Linked DNA regions of Arabidopsis thaliana. The protein of the gene in region 1 interacts with the protein of each later gene in a biochemical or structural test. Each region holds a gene or a part of one and is shown on either strand. Other genes may lie near its edges.

Region 1 (12,312 bases):
TAGTGTAAAATTGTTTCACTATGTCTCTGAAAAGGGAAAAATGAGTGAAGATGGATTTTGGAAATTATTGAAAACACTACTATTAACTATAACATGTTTTGGAACTACAAAATTGTCCATGTACTGTTCGGATAAATACGAAACCAAAATTTTTGTACTATTTACGTAAAAGTCTCATCTACAAATGAATGAAGCTCACCAGCAGAGATACTCTAATCGATGTAAATTTGTTGTTATATGTATATGTAATTTTCATATAGTATATTGCTATGAGAAGACAAAAGATCGAATCATTATGATGTGGCTAGTAATATTTGTTTATATATGTGATGATACAAATTGGCGGTATCAAACAAACTCAAGACCGTTAATATAATCAAACATTTTTGTTTCCTTTCTAATAATAAAGAAAATACATGATTAATGATAAACAACAACGACACTGAATATTAAGATATCGGTAAGTACCTCAAGATCTCACTTAGAATTTGTCTCATTCTTAAATATAATTCATAGAGTCAGATCCAGAGTACTCTCCTGACCAATCTTAACCGTCCGATCCTCTTCATCTTTCATCAGTCGGCTCTTTTTCCACGAAGACGACCCTGGACATAGCGACAAGGACAACGTTTGATCCGTTGTTGTTGCTGCTGTTTCTGTCTCTTCCAAAATTGTCTTCTCCGGTTGTCTTAGCTTAAGAGATAGATCAAGATCAATGCTCCTACTTGCGTCTCTTTTGCCATTTGTCTTGCTACAATAAGAATGATTAGTGTTCTCCTCAACACCGTTATGGAACTTTTGAAAAGTTCTTGAGTGTCCTTGAATGCTGTTGAATGTGACTGAATTGGTCCGTTCGTGATGATCGTGTCGTAGTTTCGGAAAGTGATTAGAAATTGAAGAAGAGTAGATGTTTTGGAAAGACTTGTTGTTAGTCCAATAATCACTACCACGGATGTTATTGCTAACCGACGCGTTGCGGATTAAACCGGGCCTAATTTGGTCTATCAAACTCCTTTCTGTTCCTTGAGAGCTAGAGTTCCACAAAGAAGCATTTGAAATTTTACTTCCATATCTACCAAAAACAAAAGAAGACAATTAATTTAGTTTCCGAATAAATATAATTAAAACGGAATATCATTCAAATTAAGGAACACATAAAATCTAAAATTTTCAAAAAAAAAAGTTATATCAACCTGAATGGAGAATCATGGTTATGATTATAGCCTCGGAACATCGGTAGCTGACTTAGTTTATAAATATTTCGATCTGTGGAAGTCTCGAAGAGATGTTTGTGACCAGCTATAGCTGCCAACAATTCAAACCCCACTTTATTGGCCTATACATGTATAACTTGATAACTAACTAATGAACACAAATAGAAAGAATCAATACCTTGACCTTGATCATCTATCTTCTTGCTTCTGTACATCTAAAATTTTCCAATACACAATTTAGTGATTTCTTTTTTTTTCTAATTTCAGAGATTATTTGAAACGAAATCGAAAATACAACACATATATAGGTACGTTTTAGATGTATGTAGATCAAATACCTGTAGATGGCTCTTGACATGAGCAATACTAAGCCCTTTGATGTTCATCATCTGACGAACCAACTTTGGAGTTGCTCCTATACATAACCAAACATACACATTAAAAAAAAGAAAATCACATGAGGTTTTGACCAAATAGTTAACCTAAGAATAACTAAGAAATTGCTTATGCTTTTATATATATGTGGAGGAGGTGATGAAAGATGAAGTTAGTAGCTATGGACGTACTTTCTTGACCTCCAAGCCTCTCAACGGCGCGGACAAAGCGAAGATGAAGATCAGGAGTCCACCGGAGTCGAGGGACTTTAGATCTCACATAAGGCCTAACCTTAGTCTTCTTGTCGCTCTCTTCCACTGTACTATTGCTTGAAACCTTACTCTCTTCACCTTCTTCTTCTTCTTCCTCTTCCTCCTCCTCTTCTTCTCTGTTAGTCTTCCCGCCTCCCTCCATACTTGGAATCATTATTACTTCTGATGTTACAAATTCAGAAGAAATATAGAAAGAAAGTGGTAAACGATAGAGAAGTTCTAGGCTTAGCTAGATATAGGTTTTGGACGATATGGATAGATCAATCCTTTGGTTTGATATGAAAGAGATAAAAGACCAGATGAATTCTGCTTAGTTCAAAGCATGGAGATTTTGTCTGTGAACCCTAGATCAAGATACACTTCTGATTCTCTCTCTCTCTCTTCCCGGAACATGTAGACAAACCCTCACCTAAATCTTGTTGCATATGTTAAAAAGTTTTCTTTTCTGTTCACAGCTAATTGATTTCGGCCCTTTTCTACTATAGACAGCTCTATATATAAATAGTTGTATATTTTAATATGTGGATGCATATTAATATCAACCATGGAGGGAGAAAACTATTACTCCTATAAATGAGATAAATTGTTGTTTATACCCTTAACATGCCAACAAATTACAAGTAACACTTATTCTATATTATTGTTCACCAAAGGCTAAGATGAGTGTGATAGAAATTAGGCTCTATATATAGCATATTCTTAGTAGTCTTAGATTGCCTTAGTTCGTCAAACAAACATTTCGATTACAAAGATCGATATAGATAAAATTCATGTATCGGGACTAACAGTCTATGAATGAATTAGTTAGTATAAGTAAGACTATTTACAACAACAACAAAAAAAAAAAAAAAAAAAAAATTAATAATTATAAGAAAATAAGAAAGATATTAGTATAGTTGAGACGTTATTTGAGTTTAGAAGAAAACAAAAAAATGAAGAATTTTAAATTTTTTGATACCGTGATGCAGTTTCCAGGAAAAATAATTAAATACAAAATCGAATTCACAAAATTATAATATACCTCAGAGTAGTTTTGTCGGAATTAGGATCATTGATGATCGAGATCATTGTCTTTTTCTTAAGACATTTGGTTTAAAATTAATGTTAACTAAACTTTCTTTTCCTTCTGTTTTTCTTTTTGTTGCAAAATAATTTTTGATCCTCAACGATTTAAAAGATCCAGTACGTGACATGAATCAATTTATACAAAATATTAATTTATCGAAGTGAACTATACTTGATGGATTTTAAATCCTCTCATTTCTATTGATATAGCGATCAAATTAGTTAGAAAATTTATTTTTAAAATCAACCTTCTAATCTTCTGAGTACTTTTTAGTATTTAGAAAGTGATAAATCACAATACTAACTAATATATTGATTAATGGGTAGATTCATATATATTTATCTTTAAAACTTTTTGATGAGATTATGAGGTTTAGGGTTTTGCGTGGAATTGAATGCTAAAGGCAAAAAATGGAAGAGCGAGAGTGGTAGATAGACGAATAAATTACGATTACAAGGCGTGTGACTGCTCAGCTGTCTTTGATGTAGACCACATCATCACACATACCTCTTTCTTTCTTTCTTTTTCTGTTTTTTGTTCGACGAGAATCACGGGACAATGCTCCTCTCTTACCCCAAAATTATATATTATCTTTATATGTATTTTTGTAGATTCGTATGAGAGAATTAGTTTATGTGTAAAGTGGTCCTTGCTTGGTTTACGTTACACATCCGACCCCGTGAAGCGATGAATAGCGTTGTTAGTTGAGCCGTTTTTTTACATCGTTCGTTCCAAAAATATGTAATATTAACATACATAGTTATAAAATTTGACACCGTATAAATCGAAGTCCTATATGGTTTAATTTTAATTGCAAAGAAAGTCTTTTTAGACGAGTTTATGGTGATTTTTGTAATTACGATTTTAGTCATCGTAAGCCATTGAATACTACCTCTTCCGCATATTTCGACAATTAGTTTGAATATTTACCTTTACCACTTCTATTATGAAAACAATAAGATAAATACATTCTCACGTATATATGCTTATGATATAATATATTTTAGATCCAATTATGCTTTCGAAGTCCTCTTGGAATTCCAAGAAATATGAGCACTCACAAGATCAGTTCTATTAACATGTCTAACAAATTGTACTGTTTTATTTCTACGTAAATTTCAATCATAAGTTTTTGGTGCATCACGAAAACAATATACAATACTGTTTTCCAGTTGTATATATCTACTATAGATTCGGGTACATGCCATCCAATAAAACTTCGTTGCAGAATTAAATGGAGATTATGAGTTCATGAGATTAAACTATAGGCTTAAGTTCATATTTTCCAGTTAGTAAATAAAATTCTGCTAGCCAAACAAAAAAAGTTGTTCCCTACCAAAAAAAACAAAAAAAGTTGTTGAGGAGAGGAAATTGTAAGCTTTGATGAAGTAGAAAAAAGAAGAACTTTGTCATTCCCCCCACGTGTAAAGAGACTTGCCATCGATCCTTCACAAGCTTCTCGTCACCACTCCTTTCTTCTTTACACTTAATTTCCATCTTCCTTCTGCTTCTACACGTCCACATGCAATTTTGCACCGAGAATCCTAATTTGTGTCCTTCATTTTAAAGGTTTAAAAAGCATGTTTATAAAAACATGGAACTGGATGGTTTGTGAGATATGCCATCAAATTAGACAAAAGGGTCCATTAAGCCTGTGAAAAAAAAAGAAAAAAAAAACTAAGAGACGATCATAAGAGTTAGGTGTGACCTGACAAGATTCTTGTACACCCGAACCCGACTTGTGAACTGTGAAGTCAACCTCTAATTAACAGTTATTTTTTATTCCTACAAATACGGATCCAACATTATTCTCAATTAGTTGAAGTAATGTCTGTCTATTTGCACATTTTCAAACCCATAATCAAACAAAAGTTACATATCCTGACCCGCTGACCATATTATACACTCATCTGTGTATATCTCAAATCTCACTTGCAGGTAATTCTCTCTAGTACTTTTATGTAGATATATAGATATTAGTAGAATGTTAGCAAGAAAAGATGTAAAACATATATATCAACTATATTAGAACCCGTCCTTTGTGCGAGTTTTTGATTTTTATGATAATTTTAAGTTAACAAAAACTGAATTAATTTTGCTTTATATATTAAGATGTGTGTGAAGCTCAATACACAATATTAATCTATTCTTATCAAAAAAATTTATATTCAAAATTTACAGCAATTATAAAGAACTAATAGCATTGTATTATGACTTATCATTAAGATGGGGTTTGTGTCCATGTCCGGAGTTGTTAAAGGTTTGAAAACCCAGAGTTATGAATGTAAAGAAACAAGACAGAATGCTTGAAAACAGAGCATCAAGTAAATGTTTTGTGTTTATATTATTATGCAGCTAAAATGGAACCGGTGACGGCATTCCAACTTGGCCAATGGATGTCTAGACTCGCTATATTCTTCAAGGCAGACGACACATTCTTCCCCAACCTCGAAATTGAATTCCTCGACGGCAACAAAAATATATCTTCGAACGTTTTGTTGTGTCTGATCAGCCAACTCCACATCTTTAGGTAAACTCTAATATCCTAGAGAATAATAGAAATCTATAATACTAGTTACAATGTAGAAGAAGAGACAACCTATAACGAAGCTAGATACTATAGCCAACGTAACCAAACCAAACAACAAAAGTATGTTGTGATAGACCAGTTTTTCTTTCCAAAATACGGCCCAATTAAAAGTTTGGTTCTAAAAACAATTTGGGCCTTAGTTTGTATAGTTTAAAATGTGTTTCTTAGTGAGGATTGGTTTTTCATGCCCTTTTGTTTGTGTGCTCCTTTTTTTGTATATTGAAGATCATATCAAAGCAAAAGCAATACAATACTTTTCATTCAAAAAGTTCCTCCTTCTGCTTGTTCATCAAATCTCTCAGGTAATTAAATATATGGTTGTACCACTTTTAGTTTTGTGGTATTCGGCTCTGATGTTGAATACTTCAAATATCTAGATTTGCATCTGATGCAATTGAAAACCTTTTTTTTTTTTGCAATTGAAAACTCATATATATAGTATGGCTAGATATATGCAATTGAAAACTCATATATCTAGCCATACTATGAAATAACAATTGAAGAACTTCTAAGTTGAAAGAATTCTCACTTTGTATGTTTTGATGAATTTGATCTTACATTCCAATCGTTCCAAATATCGAAACTCTTAAAGCGTATTCAATCAAACGAATCTCGTCCTAGATATACCTTGGTCATTTCAAGAAGAAGAGAAAAAAGTTATGGTCAAGAAACTAAAAGTCTAAACCCATATTATAATTCTAGTGTTGATATACGAGAATTATATATTGGTCACTTGCCCAATTAAAAATATCGTGTATAGAAAACAGTCAAGTCAACAACTATAGCAAGGGGCAAAACCGTAATTTCACAACAAGCAACTTGCTCGGTTTTTTCGTTATCACCACTCACATGAACTCTGCATTAAAAACTCTATCTCTCTCAAATCGAAAGGCACAGCCCAACTTTTCGCAAGTCGCTGTAAAGTTTGATTTGCTTCTTTTTATATACACACATACTTCTCCTCCATACACTTTCCTCTTCAATCCTCAGTTTTTTTTCTAAGCCCTAATACCATCTCAAAGAAGAGATCAAGATTTGAAATCAAGAAGACACCATTACTCAGATCAACATGCTTGCCGTTCACCGTCCTTCTTCCGCCGTATCAGACGGAGATTCCGTTCAGATTCCGATGATGATCGCGTCGTTTCAAAAACGTTTTCCTTCTCTCTCACGCGACTCCACGGCCGCTCGTTTTCACACACACGAGGTTGGTCCTAATCAGTGTTGCTCCGCCGTTATTCAAGAGATCTCCGCTCCAATCTCCACCGTTTGGTCCGTCGTACGCCGCTTTGATAACCCACAAGCTTACAAACACTTTCTCAAAAGCTGTAGCGTCATCGGCGGAGACGGCGATAACGTTGGTAGCCTCCGTCAAGTCCACGTCGTCTCTGGTCTCCCCGCCGCTAGCTCCACCGAGAGACTCGATATCCTCGACGACGAACGCCACGTCATCAGCTTCAGCGTTGTTGGTGGTGACCACCGGCTCTCTAACTACCGATCCGTAACGACCCTTCACCCTTCTCCGATCTCCGGGACCGTCGTTGTCGAGTCTTACGTCGTTGATGTTCCTCCAGGCAACACAAAGGAAGAGACTTGTGACTTCGTTGACGTTATCGTACGATGCAATCTTCAATCTCTTGCGAAAATAGCCGAGAATACTGCGGCTGAGAGCAAGAAGAAGATGTCTCTGTGATGAGTCTTTGTCGTTGTCGGGTAGTTTCGTTAGATCCGACGTCGTTTTCTAGATTTTTAGCCGTCGTGTGATCTATGTTTTTTCGGCTTATGTGTGAAAAAAAAGTTACATTAGTGAATTAATCTCTCATGCATATCATAATCCTTCTTTTAATTTTTGTATTTTACATATCCCATAAAGAACCGATTTGGATAGCCCTATTCCGGCTTTCACCACCCAAAGATAATAATATTCAAACTGAAAGAATGTGGTTGTGTTGTCCGCTAATTAAAAGTGTGATTTTCAAGTTTAATTAATCTTGTTTTTCTATAGTTTCATCAGAAAAAGCGTAAATGAAATGGTACAATATGATGTTCGACTCGGATGTATATTAACTCGTTACATTGAGTTGTTGGCCATCTAATGTGTGTAGATAAATTTACGTACGTATAAACAGCTTTTGTGAAATTCGACGATTTTTCTTAAAGGCAACTTTAAATTTGGGCATAATATAATGTGTTCCTTTCCTCTATGATTTAACTAGGTCCTCAAACTTTTTACTTTCTTATTATTTCATAATAATTAAAATAACCGATTGAGCGTGAAGTTGTTATTTAAAAATCAAACATTTGATAGAGAATTCAAGATTTGAAGTTTTTATTTGTCATCATAAACTATTTGGTAGAAAATAGGGAGTAGTTGGGGATTTTCAGGCTTAAAGGTAATTGCGTAAAATGGACAAAACATACATGTATACAAAAATATGAACATGGCCGTCAAAATATAAAAAATAAAAAACGAACATGTTGATGAATTTAAAGAAATAAAAATTTGCAAGTGGACGATGCTTTGAATGATAACCCAACAAGCCAAGCTGTTCTCTTCTTCTTTTTTTTTCCCGCTTGATATAAAGAAAATGCAAGTTGCAATTTTTTTTATCTTTTACTTCCTTTCTTTATGGTTCTTCCCAATCCAAAAGATATAATATTAAATTTCGTATAATAATAAAGAAATATGGAATAGAGAGAAGCGCAAGTTGCATGTCCTTTTACATCACGAGAGTCACGATATGTTTCGTTTCCAAGTGATCTCTTAGAATATAATTATATAAATGTGTTTTTTTCAATATATTCGAGAGGTTTCTACACTTCTATCCACAAAAAGATATGTGATTGATCGACAAAACATGAATCGTATGAAATGAAAGATTTCATTTTCCTTAGATCTAAAACCTTCTACTTCTATGTTTGCAATATCATTATCGAGGTTCACCACTATGGTTACGTAACCATCATCACTACAAAATTTTCAGTCGATAATAGGAATAGCATAAAAATACACAAAATGTTATAACTTTCAATTACTAATTTTTGTGGTCGTCAAATATCGACAAATATAGCATAGCTTTACTAATCATAACTTCATAAGATACATACTTAATGTGGCCACGAAAGGTGTAAAAACAAAAAAAAGGGATGGGAAAGAGTTGGCGGTGCAAGTGGAAGTGGGGTAGCTGCGATTTTTTTGCAAGTTGGGCAAAACATATTAATTGTGATTTACAAATTGATGAATTTTCTTATTTCTCAAAACATAAAAATGAAAGTATATGTGCCTTTGCGATCCATCACGCCACTGTTTCCTATAATTTGATTGGACCTCTGCCCAAATTTCCGATCGTTGGAGAAAAGGAAAATAAAAATAAAAATCGAATATAAGTGTATATGAATATAATTCACAAGTTGCCACATATTAGTATATCGCTTCTTGTTATATAAAGAGGCTTCATGTGATGCTTCTAGACCGAACCACCTACATCGGCGTATGGCCATAATTGTAGTTGGGGTCGGGTTAAGGTAATTTATCATTTGTACTAATTCATAATTCTTTTTATTTTCTGTTATAAATATCATCTGGAAGGTCCAAGGCCATAAGTATTGACGAATTGTTTAAGAATCTTTCCAATAGCCTTTTTAATACATGGCTTTTTTGTATCATGGAGTTGAGTCATCCGTGTTATAGGACTTTTAAAATACCGATTGCAGCATGTTTTCGATGTGAAAAATCTGCATTGGTGTATTTGTTGATTTGTTATAACGCGTAAAGCATGCAATGTATGCTTTTAGATGGTAAGTTAACTTGTAAAAATATCGATCTGCTAATGTTAAGTTGTGTACAAGAAATACTATCCACAAAAGCGTATAGAGACAATCGTACCTAACCTAACACAATGTAACAAAATTTGAAATTAGTTTTGTAACTTAAAATAAACCCCCCAAAAGAAAGGTTTAAAACTTCTTTTTATGGGCCTATAGCATCCGCCTGTATGCCCAACTGGACCCGGTCATTTCTAAGAATCGCAATCCCAACCTACGTGTAATAACTAATAGTATGAATAGTATGAATTTCACGCATGCACGACGCATTTTTATTTTCTTTTACGCCACACACGACACATTAATAAGGTTTAGACAACTTTTTTTGATTCGTGAATGCCTTCTTTGAGAAAGATTGTGTTAACTATGTGTATATCGTTCCAAGGTTATTAGATGTAGTCCAAAATAGATCACATAAGTTATGTATTTGTTTAAGGTTTGCGCACCAATGATATTGTTGCATATCGAACCAGTTGGTGAGCCGGAATGGAACTTAATTCTCATCAACTCCACTATGGTTATATAAAAGAAATTGCATATGTAACTATATGTAAATTAATGGGTGAGATTGTGAGACTCTTAGTGAATTGAGAGAATTTTAGAGAGAGAACAAAATTGTGTTAGAGAAACATATCAACCAAAAAGACATTTGAACCAAAAATACAAGTGACTGGTTTCCATATGTGATAGTCTCCAGTATATGCATCTAAATCAATTATGAACCAAATTCATCATTAAAATGGGCAAAAATGTGTTTGGTCGCGGGAAGACCCGTCTGTCATCCCTATTCTAAACTTTCAATACAATTCGTTAAAAAAAACTTAATTCTAACTAATTCAGAGTAAGATAGTTGAAAACTATACAACAAAAAATATAAGAAAATGATGAATTTCTACAATTAACAAACTAAAACATAAACTATCAAATAGAAATAGATGTATCATGTCATAGAATGAGATAAATGGTTCACTATTTGATTATTGATTTTTTTTTTTTTAACACGACTATTTGGTTATTGATTATGTCAAAAACATTAAAATAATAATTTTATAAAATAATACGATATATAATGTTTTATTAGTTTTATCTATCCCCCTACTATAACAAAAACTTATAGAAATATATAAACATATAGAAGAAGAAAAAAAGACAGAACATATAGAAACAAGAAATAAAATTATACTTTCAAAAACTACGAAGCAAGGAAAATCGAATTTTGAGGTAACTTGAAGGCAACGAATAGTATGAATGTGGAAACGTCAACAACTTAACCTTACGTTTACATATTATATTATTTGACCATCTCTAACCATATTTGGATTATGAAAATCCAAAAGGGCGCTCGCAAATACCATAGTGACCCCCTGTGGCCACACCTTTCTCAGATGTCTATTATGCTTTATGAAGAATGCCAAGGGGGTTTCTCGGTAACACCAAATTAATCGATAGTCGCCTTCACTTGCAAACCAAGAAAGATACGAAACTACACCGAGAAAGTACAATCTTATTTAAATAACCAAAACAAACAACTTAGTTTTGTCTGACCCACTAGGCCACTACTTCTATTCGACAACTTTAAAGTTGACGATACATATACAATTCCTGACTCAACTGAGAACGACAATGTACAATCACACAACGCTGGTCGAACTTAGGAGCCAATAAAACACTTGAGTCGTGACATGAAACACACGGCTACAATACAAACTTCTCTCAATTATTTTTTGTAAAGACCGATTATTTGCTAAGCAAGTCCTAGACAAATATTTACACACAATCGCTATAATATTTAACAAGAGATCACGGTCAGATTAAACTACAGGTCGAATGATTACGGTCAGATTATAGACGCAGCGTCGGATTTCTATCTCATAGAGTCTTGACATAACTTTGTTTCCTAGAGTCACGACCTTATTTCACGTCTATTGGCGAAATAACTTCAATATATCGCATTCACAATGGACATACTTTTTGTTTTTGTTTTTTGTTGGGAGTGAATTTCTTCTTATCCAAGAGCATGTTAATTAATGTTTTAGAGTGACTTTGACGACAATAGTTTCGCAAGAATTAATAATTAATGTTTAGTAACTTAATTTTCCAAAACATTAGAATCCTACTTTGTATATGTTTCAAACAAAGCACAATAAGTATTCAAAGTTAAATCTCAGAGTTCAAATTAAGCCTTTAAGATTTTGTCTTGAATAATTAGCTTACCTCTCTAATCATTAATCAACTTAGGAAAAATATTATTTTTCAAGTAGTGGGCAATTGCTTGGCAAACTGTCAACACAAAAAGTTTTAGAATTTATATTAGGAAAATGATTCATAAATGTATATATAGACAGCTACAGAAAATTGATTGACCACCAAACAACAAAATAACTTCAAGAAGGCTGGAGTTAAAAGGCAAGTAAGAGAAAGACACATCAATATAACCCAAAACAAAACATCATAACAGCAACAATAACAGACACATAACCAATGGCAAAGCGACAACTGTTGATGCTGGGTATTAGAACTAGCTTTCATACTATCGCCGCCGTGCTTGTGGCCGGATTAATATTCACTGCCGTGTTTTTGTCCAGAAACAGTTTGCCAAAGGAAAATCCTCAAAGCCACGGTGTTACGGATCGCGGAGGGGACAGTGGCAGAGAATGTAATTTGTTCGAAGGGAAATGGGTATTTGATAACGTATCATACCCTCTTTATAAAGAAGAAGATTGCAAGTTCATGTCTGACCAGTTGGCTTGTGAGAAGTTTGGGAGGAAAGATCTGAGTTACAAATTCTGGAGGTGGCAACCTCACACGTGTGATCTTCCCAGGTTTTTTTCCTTCTTTGTCATTTTCACTTTCACATTTTTACATATGTCTTTCCTTTCTCTATCTATGGCCATTAGTATAAAAGTTTATACTATAAAGATGTTACATGTCGCATTATCTCCGCTGCTTATATACTTTCCCGTTCTTCTT
Region 2 (13,342 bases), on another chromosome or scaffold:
CATTTCACCAAACAATTTGAGAAAAGGTCTCATCAATCATCTCATCTCTGATCCAACCGGAGCAACCATGATAAAAACCTATCTCAAAGTATGATTTACTTATCAACTCTTAGGTTTGTGTATATATATGTTGATTTATCTGAATAATCGATCAAAGAATGGTATGTGGGTTACTAGGAAGTTGGAAACAAACATGTATAGAATCTAAGGAGTGATCGAAATGGAGATGGAAACGAAAAGAAAAAAATCAGTCTTTGTTTTGTGGTTAGTGACCGAGAAATGTTTAAATCAACAAGAGTAAAAATGTTCAACACATGCTTTTAATTTTTATCAATTTATTTCGCTTATATTGTTTACGATTGCCATTTATTTTAAATATGATCACTTTCGTGTTCCTAAGTGCAAATTACTCAATAATCTATACACATTATTTATAAACAAGAAACTGCTAATTTTGGATTAGTGAAACTACAAGTGGTTAGTGTGCCGTCTTTAATCATTAATCTAATATTAACAAGAACAGAGAACAAGTATATGTTCGTTGCATCACATACAGAATCTAAGAACAAGCACCACATAATTATCAATTAAATTAATCAATCCAATGAAACTTCTTCTTAACCCTTTAAAAAAACAATTACTAGTCAATAAAATCACTTCTAAATTCGCTATTTGCACATTTTATTCAAAATGAATTATATATCTTTATTAATGTCAACCCCTTGAAATAATATAGAACATTCTTTCTAATATTTTTCTCACAATTATATCAATTAAAACCTTCAAAATTATCAATAAAACGACCATATCTTAAATTTCACAAAAATATAAGTCCCAACATAACAATTTTTTCGAAAAAGACTTTTCTAATAAAGTAGGCGCTTTCAATTTTCACAACAGTCAATAAATACATCACCCACTTTTTCTATCCAAGTCAACTAAAAACGCGGGTCTTCTTCTCCAAAACCCATTTCCTCACAAAATCCATCTGAGAAAAAGAGCAACAAGTTTCATTTTCATGGTGGTGATGACGAACAAATTCTTCGAATTAATCGGCGGAGCTCCGTCGTATTCTTCAGTATCCGTCGCTGTTAAAGGATCCGTCGGTGACGCCGTAGGAGGAACTGCTAGTCGTCGTGCTCTTCGTTGGACAATCGAAAATTTCCTTCCTAAAATCGATAGATTAGTTCTTGTTCATGTCATGCCTACAGTTACTACTATTCCATCTCCTTGTAAGTCTCGATTCGAATTTTTTTGTTAAATCAATTTCGAGATTCATGAAAATTTAACACTAGTTTTTGTTTGATTTAAAAGCTGGATCGAAGATTCCAATAGAGGAATTGGATGAGAGTGTTGTGTCTATGTATAAACGAGATTTGAGAAAAGAATTTGAACAAGTTTTTGTTCCGTTTAAGAGGATCTGCAAATCCAACAAAGTGAGTTTCTGTGAAAGCTAAATTTATGATACTGATTTTGGAAGTTTTGGAGAAGGCTTATGGAATAATTTTACTGGTTAAATGTTTAGGTTGAGACTTTGTTGTTGGAACATCATGATCCTGCAAAGGCTCTTTTGAAGTATATGTCAGATACTGATGTTGAGTGTTTAGTGATTGGCTCTTGCTCTTCTAATTTCCTCACAAGGTAATGTTACATAATGGGATTTGATATCTAGTATGTGTTTGTATATGGTATGATCTTGCTTAGACGTTTGGATTGGTTTTGACAGGAAAAAAGGACAAGAAATGCCATTAACGGTGCTAGGAGAAGCTCCAGAGACATGTGAGATATATGTTGTTTGTAAAGATAGAATCTTAACCAAATCGACGAATCAGTTTACCGCAGGTATGTTTCAATTGCATTGATCTAAAATCTGAAGTCAAGAAGGAAAAAAATACAAGTTTTATTGATTTCCCCTGTGGTTTTTGTTTCTGTGTGAAATTTTCAACAGATTCATCATCTAGTTTCCGTATACCAGAAGGAGCTGAAGCTTATACAGAATCTTTCAGTCGCACACGCTCTGATAAGACAGGGTTGTCTGCTTCATCTATAACATCTTCAGGCAGGATGAGAATTGGAAGGCCTGGCTCTTTACCGCATAGTCATCCGACCTCTCGAGTGTATTCTGATGCACAGTCTTCTTCAACTGATATTGTTTTGGTCGATGACGAACACTGTCGTTCTATCCTTAGGCATAGTACTGTTTCCACTAGTAAAATACAGATGGATCCTAGACCTCACTTAAAAACACCAAAGGTGAAGCATTTAATATATGACCATTTTGATTCTCTGTGACACAAAATGCATATGATTTTGATCCAAGATCTGTTTTTGCAGTCAGGTGTAAGAGCTGAGGTAGAGCAGCTAAGGAAAGAAGTGCAAACCACTCTTTCCATGTACAAACAAGCTTGTGAAGAGCTAGTTCATAAACAAACACAGGTTGGAGTTCTAGAAGAAAACTTTTTTTGTTCTCGAAATCCTTTCCTAATGTTTTTACATCTTATGGATTCATAAACTCAATCCCATGTTGTGACCTCAGGTCCAGTCTCTTTCCTCTGAGTGTATCAAAGAAACAGAAAGGGTCATCACTGCTCTGGAAAAAGAAGAAATGCGAAGGAAAGCAGCAGCAGAAGAGAAAGAAAAGCATCTAAAAGCTGTAAAAGAAGTCGAGGAAGCAAAATCAATGCTAGCCAAAGAGTTCTGCGAGAGGCAATTAGCCGAGCTAGATGCTCTCAAACAGTCCATAGAGAAACAGAAAGTCATTGAGCAACTCTTCTTGAGAGACGGGCGATACAGAAAGTACACAAAAGAAGAAATAGCTGCAGCTACAGATAATTTCTCTTCCCGTAAAATAATCGGCGAAGGAGGATATGGAAAAGTATACAAATGCAGTCTTGATCATACCCCAGTAGCTCTTAAAGTTCTCAAACCTGATTCTGTTGAAAAGAAAGAGGAATTCTTGAAAGAGGTAAATTACTAGTAGTCTCATGGCCTAATAACAACAGCAGCCTTTAACACTCTGAGATCTGAAATCAACTATTTTACTTTGCAGATCTCAGTCTTAAGCCAGCTTCGTCATCCCCATGTGGTTCTTCTCCTTGGTGCTTGTCCTGAAAATGGATGCCTTGTCTATGAGTACATGGAAAATGGTAGCTTAGATTGTCACATCTCTCCCAAAAAAGGGAAACCATCTCTCTCATGGTTTATCAGATTCCGAATCATCTATGAAACAGCTTGTGGTTTAGCTTTCCTCCACAACTCTAAGCCTGAGCCCATCGTCCACCGTGACCTCAAACCAGGCAACATTCTCTTAGACAGAAACTTTGTCAGCAAAATCGGTGACGTTGGACTCGCAAAACTCATGTCAGACGAAGCACCAGACAGTGTGACGGTTTACAGAAACTCGATTATCGCCGGTACACTCTACTACATGGACCCGGAATACCAACGAACCGGCACAATCAGACCGAAATCAGATCTTTACGCATTTGGAATCATAATTCTCCAGCTTTTAACCGCTCGACATCCCAACGGTCTTCTTTTCTGCGTTGAAGATGCAGTAAAGAGAGGCTGTTTTGAAGATATGTTAGATGGATCAGTCAAAGACTGGCCCATAGCCGAAGCGAAAGAACTAGCTCGCATTGCAATCAGGTGTTCGCAGCTCAAATGCAGAGACAGACCAGATCTTAGCACACAAGTCTTGCCTGCTCTCAAACGTATTCTTGAATCTGCAAATAGTAGACTCAAGACAGAACAAGCTAACGCACGAGCACCAACTCACTATTACTGTCCAATTCTTAAGGTAAATCGAATAACCGATGCACACCAACCACAATTCTCGATGGCTCAGGTTTTAAAATGTTTGATTCTGGTTGATTGTAGGAAATAATGGAAGATCCACAAATAGCAGCAGATGGATTCACATACGAACGAAAAGCGATAAAAGAATGGATTCAAAAACATCAAGATGTGTCTCCTGTTACTAAGCATCGGCTCAAACATTCTGATCTTACACCGAACCACACTCTCAGATCGGCTATACGAGAGTGGCGATCTCGTTCACGCTTAGACCTCTCCACTACTCTTGGCTCCTACTGATCACACTAATATATATACAGTCTAGTCTAATTCGTATATTGACTAAATACCCTGAACTTGTTTGAATCGGGTGTATCATCTCTGTGAATATGTATTGTGGTATTATATAATAAGTCAACAAGGATTTGGTTTGCTTTTTGCAGTTCTATATGAAGAGCATTTACAACTGATAATCAAGTGAAAGTTTAGAGGATTCATCTACAAATAGACTCAAATCAAACTTGGGTGAACTCAAGAGCGTTTGCGTCTGGATCACGAGTAAATATCGCTGGCCTCCCTGACTTACTCATTGTATATGCAATTCCTACAAAATCAAAAAATCTTCTTCAGAACGAAAGGAAACATCCTTTAAGCCAAAAGAAACTAAGAAGAAAGAATAAAAAAATATAAACTACCAGCTTTGTCTAAGATCTCTTTCAGATTTGAAACATCACGGATTGCAATACAAGCGTGTCGATCCCGGCCTCCGTGCTCGGGTCTACCTGTTAATGGATCTGGATTTGGAAGCTCCATAAGATGAATCATTTCTGAACCTACCCATAACCATGCTCCTCTATATGGAAGCTTGTCGTGAGGCCTTGCTTCGTTGATCTCAAGGCCTAAAATGTTCTGGTAAAACTCGAGTGACCGTTCTAGGTTCTCGCAGAGCAGACCGACATGATGAACCCCAACAACTCCATAATCTACAATAACAATCAACAATCAAAACTGGTAATCCGAGCTTAGTGTCTATAGATAAATGGTGACATTTGCTTAAAATGTTGTAACCACTAACCAGCAGACAATCAACACAATTACTTATTATCAGTTAATTACCGGTTTTGTTGTTAAGCTCTTTCTCTTGTACAACACTAATCCCTTCAATTGACGATCCTTGTGCCTTAGCCTTCAAGCTATAAAACCTAACATTGATCCTTTCTTTCCTCACACTCTTCTTCTGAAACTCAAACCGCTCTTTCGTAGAGAGATTCGTGCAAATAACCTTCCAAATACCAAAAAAGATTCATCATCAATGATCAATCCAAGGTAAAGTAATCGATTTTGAATGATACTCACAATCCTAATTTCTCCTTTTAACTCAATTACTTGAAAACTAAAGAAAAGAAGCCCTTAATTGCCAAATTTACAAGATTAGCGTCTAGGACTATCTCAAGATCATCCAAAAGGTAAGAACCCTAAACAACAATTTCTGGAAATCGAGTAACCTAACGCTAGGAGTGAATAAAGAAGCTTATTTGTTTGATACCTTTGGTCGTAAATCAAGTGAAGCTGAAGAAGGTCTGAAAATAGAAGCCATGGAAGAGAATCTTGGATTAGGCTCTCAACACAGGAGCAAGAGTTTTTTTTTGTCTTTAAAGTAATGATTTCATGTTTTTTATTTTCTTTATTGGCCAAGAAAATTAAGGAGAAAAACAAAACCTGAGCCACTCAGCCACATAATCACTGGGAAAATCAATTTCGTATTGTCTCGAAAAATATAATTGTTTCAACGACAACAAAAAATCAAACATGCGGTGTGGTGGCAAAAGTCAAACGTTTATTTAATGAAAGTTTATCAGAGAATCGATGGGCCTAGCCCAGTCCAATAGGTGATTCACGTCTCACTATTTTTGCAGCTTCACAAAAATGGTAAGTTGGTAACTTACTATTTCGAGCGAAAATAACTCAGTAATAACTTCCAGATTCGTCAAATTTCTCTTACCTTGTAATGAAGTTTAGATGTTTTAGCTTTATGTATAAAAATTTAAGAATATGGTCTAATTTTATATAATTTTCTTATTATCATTTTGTATTTGATATCATATTGACAAAATTTAACAAATAGATATTAGTTGTACTTCTATGTGACCGCCACTTTATTCAATACTACCTTTTAAGTTTTAACAGATCCGTGTAGCAACTGATCATCTCAAAATATGTGACACATAGTATACTATACAATATGAGCTGGTTTTGTTTTTTATTTTATATCGAAAGATATTTTACTTTATCTGACAGCTGCGAGAGATCCTAAAAAAAATGAATTAACTTTAAAGAAATTGCATGCGTCTATCTATCTACGTATATCTCAAAAATAAAAATAAAATCAAGGTCACATGACTCATATCCAGTGAATAAAAAATATTCATGAAATCGTAAATAAATAAATAAAAACAGAAATTCATATATACGTTTTTAGTTATATAACTATACGATTGGTTCAGTGTATTTGTTGCCCAACCAAAGCTACTTTCACTTCACATATCATTACATGGTCCAATGATTATGGAACACGTATTATTATTTTTGTTTAAAAACAAGTAAATAAATAAAACAGACACCAAATAAAAAAGGAAACACAAAGATATTTACGGAAGTTAAAAGAGAGGTGTTGTCTATGTCAGTGCAATGAACCTCTTCGGCTCATCTTTTCCCGCCATCCCAACTAACAGATCTCTCACCGTACACGCCATCCTCTTCACCAAATCTAATGACTTTCTCTCTGTCTACGTGGCGATCATCCGGTCTGTTTTCCGACAATAATGGGACCCATTTGATTGTTATTTCGAAAATGATTTTATTTTTCTTCAATATTGTTTTTTTCTTCAATATTGTTTTGGAAGTAAAAAGAATCATCTGTTGACAACACAACACTTCTTGCCTTCTCGAGTTTGATTCTCCTCCTTTCTGTTTTTGGTATCCACCCGATTGTCATTATTTTATTTTGAACTCTAGAACCAAAAATATCAGAGCAAGCTCTCTAGTCAGTAAATTTTGTAATTATTATAGTACCTCATTTTTATTAGTAGCATTAATGTACTAGTGTGGTCAGTGTAGATGAATATATTTTCTACTAAACTAATAAAAATTGTATCATAATTTGTATATTTTTTGGTGTTTTCATCTTTTACTATAAAATATATTTTTGTGACATATGGCATGTTACACTAAACAAAAAATAAAATAAAAGAAATTTGTTTTTGTATAAAATAAGTAAATTACGTTTTTTGTCGACCAATTTTGATTAAAGCTCAAAAGAAAAGAGCAATTCCTAAGAGATATTATTTTTATGTGAAATAAGTAAATTACTCATTATGTAAAAAGTTTGGATTTATCTTAAATCTAATTTCATAACGTTTAATGCAAGATATTTTGGTAAAATAGGAAACGTATAAAACATCTGTATTCAAAACTTCTATAAAGATACCCAATAATAATGGAGGGGTGACACGATAGTAAATAGAATAAGAAATAAAATTTAATCAAGTCAAAATAAAATAAATACCCTTTGTTTTTGTTTCCACAATTCCTTAAGTCTTTCTAATTACTTTGTTGTTCACTAAAACATCTCACATTGTGCTATTTTTTTTAATAAATAAAGACCTCTCTCTTTAAAACTGATTATCCCCTAAACTATTTGTTTGTGAGAAAGAAAGAGAAAAAAAAGTTTTTTTGGTTGGAAATTAATTGAGGGAGAGAGAGAGTTCAGAATCTCTAAATGGCTGAAACGAATTGCCCAGAATCCAGGAAACTCTGATTTTAGTCCTTTTTTCCTCGGGAAAACGTTTGCTTTTTCTTTTTTGTGTGTGTTTGGTTCTTTAATTGACAAATCTCTCTCTATCTGTTTCATGTGCTAGCTAAGGTTGTCTTCACTTTCCTCTAATGAGTCATGAGTTTCTTGTCTTCATCTTCATCTAATAAAGTTAACAACACTCTCATCAATTTTTATTATGTTCAAATCTGTCTGACTTTTCGTTCTTTTCTCTTACACCCAAGCGTTTTAACAATCTAACATCTGTCTCTTTGAATACTTAGATATCCAACTTCAATTTCTCTCCTTTCTCTTCCCAACTTTGATTCCTGATTTGGGTTTTTGTTAAAGTTCAAGAAAGTTCTTTTTTCTTTTTTTTTCCTCCTTTAATGGACGAAGTTTCTCCTGCAGTCGCTGTTCCATTCAGACCATTCACTGACCCTCACGCCGGACTTAGAGGCTATTGCAACGGTGAATCTAGGGTTACTTTACCGGAAAGTTCTTGTTCTGGCGACGGAGCTATGAAAGATTCTTCCTTTGAGATCAATACAAGACAAGATTCATTGACATCATCATCATCTGCTATGGCAGGTGTGGATATCTCCGCCGGAGATGAAATCAACGGTTCAGATGAGTTTGATCCGAGATCGATGAATCAGAGTGAGAAGAAAGTACTTAGTAGAACAGAGAGTAGAAGTCTGTTTGAGTTCAAGTGTGTTCCTTTATATGGAGTGACTTCGATTTGTGGTAGACGACCAGAGATGGAAGATTCTGTCTCAACGATTCCTAGATTCCTTCAAGTTTCTTCTAGTTCGTTGCTTGATGGTCGAGTCACTAATGGATTTAATCCTCACTTGAGTGCTCATTTCTTTGGTGTTTACGATGGCCATGGCGGTTCTCAGGTAATGAATCGATTTGGTTTCGATATGATATGATCGGAAACTGCAAAAACTTGGTTTTTGACATTTGTTTTTGTGTGTTTAGGTAGCGAATTATTGTCGTGAGAGGATGCATCTGGCTTTGACGGAGGAGATAGTGAAGGAGAAACCGGAGTTTTGTGACGGTGACACGTGGCAAGAGAAGTGGAAGAAGGCTTTGTTCAACTCTTTTATGAGAGTTGACTCGGAGATTGAAACTGTGGCTCATGCTCCGGAAACTGTTGGGTCTACCTCGGTGGTTGCGGTTGTCTTTCCGACTCACATCTTTGTCGCGAATTGCGGCGACTCTAGGGCGGTTTTGTGTCGCGGCAAAACGCCACTCGCGTTGTCGGTTGATCACAAAGTAAGTATAGATGTTTCTATGAATGAATTAGTACAATCATATATTCATTAGGACTTGCGGTTTTTTGTTATGGTGTTACCAATCATAGCATGTTTCTATAGATTAGTTAATGTACTTATAGCGTTTGGGTCTACATTTATGTGTAGCCGGATAGGGATGATGAAGCGGCGAGGATAGAAGCTGCCGGTGGGAAAGTAATCCGGTGGAACGGGGCTCGTGTATTTGGTGTTCTCGCAATGTCAAGATCCATTGGTAATTATTTAACTTTCTCTTGATAATGATCCATGAATTTGGTTCTTTTAGTTGTTTCCTTACATTACAACCCGTCGCGAACAGGCGATAGATACCTTAAACCGTCAGTAATTCCGGATCCAGAAGTGACTTCAGTGCGGCGAGTAAAAGAAGATGATTGTCTCATCTTAGCAAGTGATGGTCTTTGGGATGTAATGACAAACGAAGAAGTGTGCGATTTGGCTCGGAAACGGATTTTACTATGGCATAAGAAGAACGCGATGGCCGGAGAGGCTTTGCTTCCGGCGGAGAAAAGAGGAGAAGGAAAAGATCCTGCAGCAATGTCCGCGGCAGAGTATTTGTCGAAGATGGCTTTGCAAAAAGGAAGCAAAGACAATATAAGTGTGGTAGTGGTTGATTTGAAGGGAATAAGGAAATTCAAGAGCAAATCCTTGAATTGAAAAAGAAGGTTTGGAAGAAAAGTGAAAAAAAAAGTTTTGATGGTGGGTAAAAATTCTCTTTAGTGAAAAAAGAAAGATAAAACAACAGGTAATAATTACATTGTAATATTAATTTCCTGCTTAAATTTGTTATTTACTTTCTTAGTCTTCCCACCATTATTTAATCTTTTTATATTTATTTTACTAACATGATATATATAATGTACATGGGAATAGTGTAACTTCCAAACAAAAAGCCCCCTTGTATTTTTTTTTATCTTGGGGTTAGTTGTAATAACACTACATTCGTCTACGTAAATATTTAGTGTTATTATTTGATGTTTCATAACTTCTCTTTGTGTGTGTGTTTTCGTTAGAGTGATATAGTTTCAATAGTATTGACATCATTTTTTCATTACCAAAAATTACATTAGTCTTCATCACCATAATTTTTTCATTTTGTTTAAATCTACTAAACCAACCAGAATATGGGATGGTTGAATAAACGTCACAATAATTTGTAAATCCATGTGAATGTTTAGATTGTAGGTGATTGAAGACAAAATAATACATACTTATATCACAAGTTAATTGTAAAGTGGTGTGTAAGGCAGCTTTTATCCCCAAGAAAAATCATCTTTTTATCACATCAACATTATTCAACAATTACACAAAAAGGTAAATATCATATTTAAATGTGAAAGAATATAAATAAAATTAGTCTTGTGAAAAATTTAATCTCTTCGAATAACATTGTTTTATTATTCTTATTTCATAAAAAAGGAAAGAAGTAAGCGTTGGTTAGTAAAAGAGTGTTTTTTACTTTCTCAAGAGTTTCAATTTCTTCTTCTTCAGCTTTATACGCATTTAAAGCGCCGACGAAGTTGAACACTGAAGAAGAAAAAGAGGAGACGACACGATTTTTGTCTGAATTATCAGATTCAGATTTCGTTTAATCGCCAGATTCATTTCGAAAAATCTTGCACTAGATTCTCTTATCTTCGGTGAGCTCTCTCTGCGATCTTTGTTTTTTTTTCCGAGCAATTTCCGGTATTTAATGAAACGATGGATCGACGAATTGATTTATTTGTAAAGCTAATCCTGTAGACAACTGAGCTCAAAACATTCAATTTTTGTTAAAGAGACGAGTCGTATCTCGAGTTTGAAGTTTTCGCGGTTGCTGATTGATTTGATGGGGATTTGAAATTTATAGTGTGAGTTTTGGTTAGTTGCTGCTAGGGTTTTCGAATCACACTTTGTATTGTTGGTCTTGTGTTGATTGAAATGTATCTCTAGTCTTTGATTACTGCTTGTGAAATTCTGATGTTTTTATTATGATTGCAGGGAAATTGAAGATCTGGGTCATAAGCAATAGCTTAAAGCATGGACGAAAGTAATTATCTCTCTTGACTCTTCAACTATGAGCTTTGAGGTTAATTTTACTAGAATATTGAGTCACAGAGTTCCATTTATATCTAGTTACAGAGTTGAGTTGTGAATTTGTTTTGTCCTAGTTGAGATTGAGATGACTTAGATGAGATCACTAGACGACGTTGTTTCTCTCCTGTCCATTTTCATTTTTCATGATTTTGTTTGAGTGAAAGTGTTGGAAATGTACTACAAAGTTTTTAAAAGGAGGATATACACATATATATATGTGTTGCTTTGAACCTTCTTGGATATGTGTGCAAGTAAATATTGTATCTGTTTCATTGCAGATTCTAAATTTGTATCTGGAAACGGTAGAACCGAGCTGGTTAAATTCATTGCTGATAGGCATGCCAAACTCATGAAACAAGCCTCTCGACATTATTCCGCAATTAAAGGTTAGTACCACAACCTGTTTTACAAACTATTACCGCCTATGCACCTAGTCTTGTCATGTATACAAGTTCAGAAATTCTGATTCTCACCATCGAATATATTAAACGTAAGATGTGAAAGATGAAGCATTCATGTCAACACCTTCTTATCACTGTGAACTAAGTAAAAGACACTGTCTCTGTTTTTTGGTAGATGCTATGGCTCGTGGGAAAAAAAGATATACACTTGTAAAAGATGTAGACGACATGGAAACAGGAGCATATGACAAACCTCTTCCATGCTTTGGTTGTGGAATCGGATGGTTTTCGTGAGTACTTGTTCTCCTATTAATCCCATGTTATCTGTTTTAAGACCAATCCTGATTTAATCTTCATTTTGCCTTTAACAGCTTCCTCCTAGGATTTATGTTCCCATTTTTGTGGTACTATGCTGCATTCCTTTATTTCGGGAACTATTATCGTAAAGATCCTAGAGAAAGAGCCGGTCTTGCTGCTTCCGCAATCACTGTAAGTGCTTTCATACGATTCTATGTGTATGCATATTACTCTTAGAGATAGCTTTTGTAGTCTAACAATGTTGTTCTTGATTAAACGAAATAACAATGAATTCGATCTTAAATTGTTGCAGGCGATGGGCTTCTCTCTTGTCTTACTCGTGATTTTTGCTTTCCGGTGGTTTTACTATCCTTGAGATAAAGAAGTAACTATGTTAACTATCATTCATACCTATAAGCTCCGTGTTCATCAAGGAATAGTCTCGGAACTTGATGTCTCATGTACATTCACATAAACCAAATGAATTTCACTTCGATATTTTTCTCAAGTTGTATATTTTTTTTGTTGAATGAAAGTTTTTCAGTCCCTTACTAAGGTGGACCAAACTACAAGCCGTTTTATATATCCATAAAATCTTCAAGACGGCATGATGTGCAACTCTCAAAATGTAAAAACGGAGTATGATGTTTCCAATGATAGAGAGAGGTACGGTAGGTTCGTGTATCTTTTGTACTTATCAACAAAAGAGAAGTTTGATTGATTCGATTATTCTCAATCGCTAAAAGCTTCCAATTGGTTAATGCCAGGACAAATTTGTGGATCTCTTCCAAGTAATAATCGAATCATTAAGAGCTTTAATTGTTGATTTTATAGTACTAATCAATTACTACAATAAGACGACATGTAATACGATTGGATCATGTGGTATAAATCGCACGTGTGGGAGACAGACAGGCTGTCTGAAGAAACTTAGACGATACTTCCGATTCATCTAGCGTCTCTCTTTTCCCAGCCTGTCTCTTTCTCTTCTTCTTTTTATTTTTATTTTTAACTTTCATAATTATATATTTTATTTTCCTATTTTGGCTCGTTTCCAGACCAATATACAGGTATCTGTACCTAAACTCCAGATTTATGTCCATCTGTGTCCAATTATTTTAATCATCATTCTTTGTTTGCTATAAAACATTTCTTAAAACTGCATTTAGCAACAAAAATTTGAGTTTGAATCAGGTAGCTAGCTAAGACAATATCACTGTAACCAATTGAGTTACTAATTTAACACTCGGACAATTACTCAATTAGCAATAGTATAAGGGGTGGCTTCTTTAAAATCTTGTATTAATTCAAGGGTTGTTTGTGTTACATGATTTTCAATATGCAACTATCAGTAAATTACAACTCTATATGTTGAAGCTGATCACGGTCTCTTTTGATAAAGATACTTACAATTTTCTAAGTTTTGAGTCTTGAGAAAAAGACTGTTCAATGTTTGGTGGATTTGTCACATGTATGAACCATAAATAATGTTGATCTACTATGGAAACTATTGATTCGATGGCTCAGCAAATTTTTGGTTGGACAAAATACTTTTTTGATAATCACTTTTTCTTTCACTAACTTTTACCTGCCTACGTAAATCACCTGCAGATTCATTAATTTATGAGATATTAGAAAACCTTGTG

Evidence for each region.
Region 2: the proteins of PYL4 (region 1) and ABI2 form a complex in vitro, tested with the Arabidopsis thaliana proteins (one study listed by BioGRID).

What each region holds. Positions count from the first base shown.
Region 1 is NC_003071.7:16,043,665-16,055,976, forward strand, and holds PYL4 (PYR1-like 4), read left to right. Parts: upstream 1-6,253; 5' UTR 6,254-6,586; coding exon 6,587-7,210; 3' UTR 7,211-7,692; downstream 7,693-12,312. Other genes in the region: AT2G38300 (myb-like HTH transcriptional regulator family protein), read right to left, coding at 511-1,072, 1,194-1,305, 1,393-1,429, 1,553-1,629, 1,781-2,015; TBL34 (TRICHOME BIREFRINGENCE-LIKE 34), read left to right, coding at 11,824-12,164. UniProt on the Arabidopsis thaliana protein: Receptor for abscisic acid (ABA) required for ABA-mediated responses such as stomatal closure and germination inhibition. Inhibits the activity of group-A protein phosphatases type 2C (PP2Cs) when activated by ABA. Can be activated by both (-)-ABA and (+)-ABA.
Region 2 is NC_003076.8:23,079,725-23,093,066, forward strand, and holds ABI2 (Protein phosphatase 2C family protein), read left to right. Parts: upstream 1-7,397; 5' UTR 7,398-7,995; coding exon 7,996-8,508; intron 8,509-8,590; coding exon 8,591-8,887; intron 8,888-9,033; coding exon 9,034-9,139; coding exon of another isoform or gene 9,140-9,162; exon of another isoform or gene 9,163-9,223; coding exon 9,224-9,579; 3' UTR 9,580-9,904; downstream 9,905-13,342. Other genes in the region: LUT2 (Lycopene beta/epsilon cyclase protein), read left to right, coding at 1-94; AT5G57035 (U-box domain-containing protein kinase family protein), read left to right, coding at 1,019-1,232, 1,315-1,436, 1,526-1,641, 1,727-1,842, 1,949-2,253, 2,335-2,436, 2,537-2,965, 3,050-3,799 and 1 more; AT5G57040 (Lactoylglutathione lyase / glyoxalase I family protein), read right to left, coding at 4,311-4,399, 4,491-4,778, 4,912-5,077, 5,342-5,392; AT5G57060 (60S ribosomal L18a-like protein), read left to right, coding at 11,240-11,384, 11,575-11,689, 11,771-11,888, 12,010-12,072. UniProt on the Arabidopsis thaliana protein: Repressor of the abscisic acid (ABA) signaling pathway that regulates numerous ABA responses, such as stomatal closure, osmotic water permeability of the plasma membrane (Pos), high light stress, response to glucose, seed germination and inhibition of vegetative growth.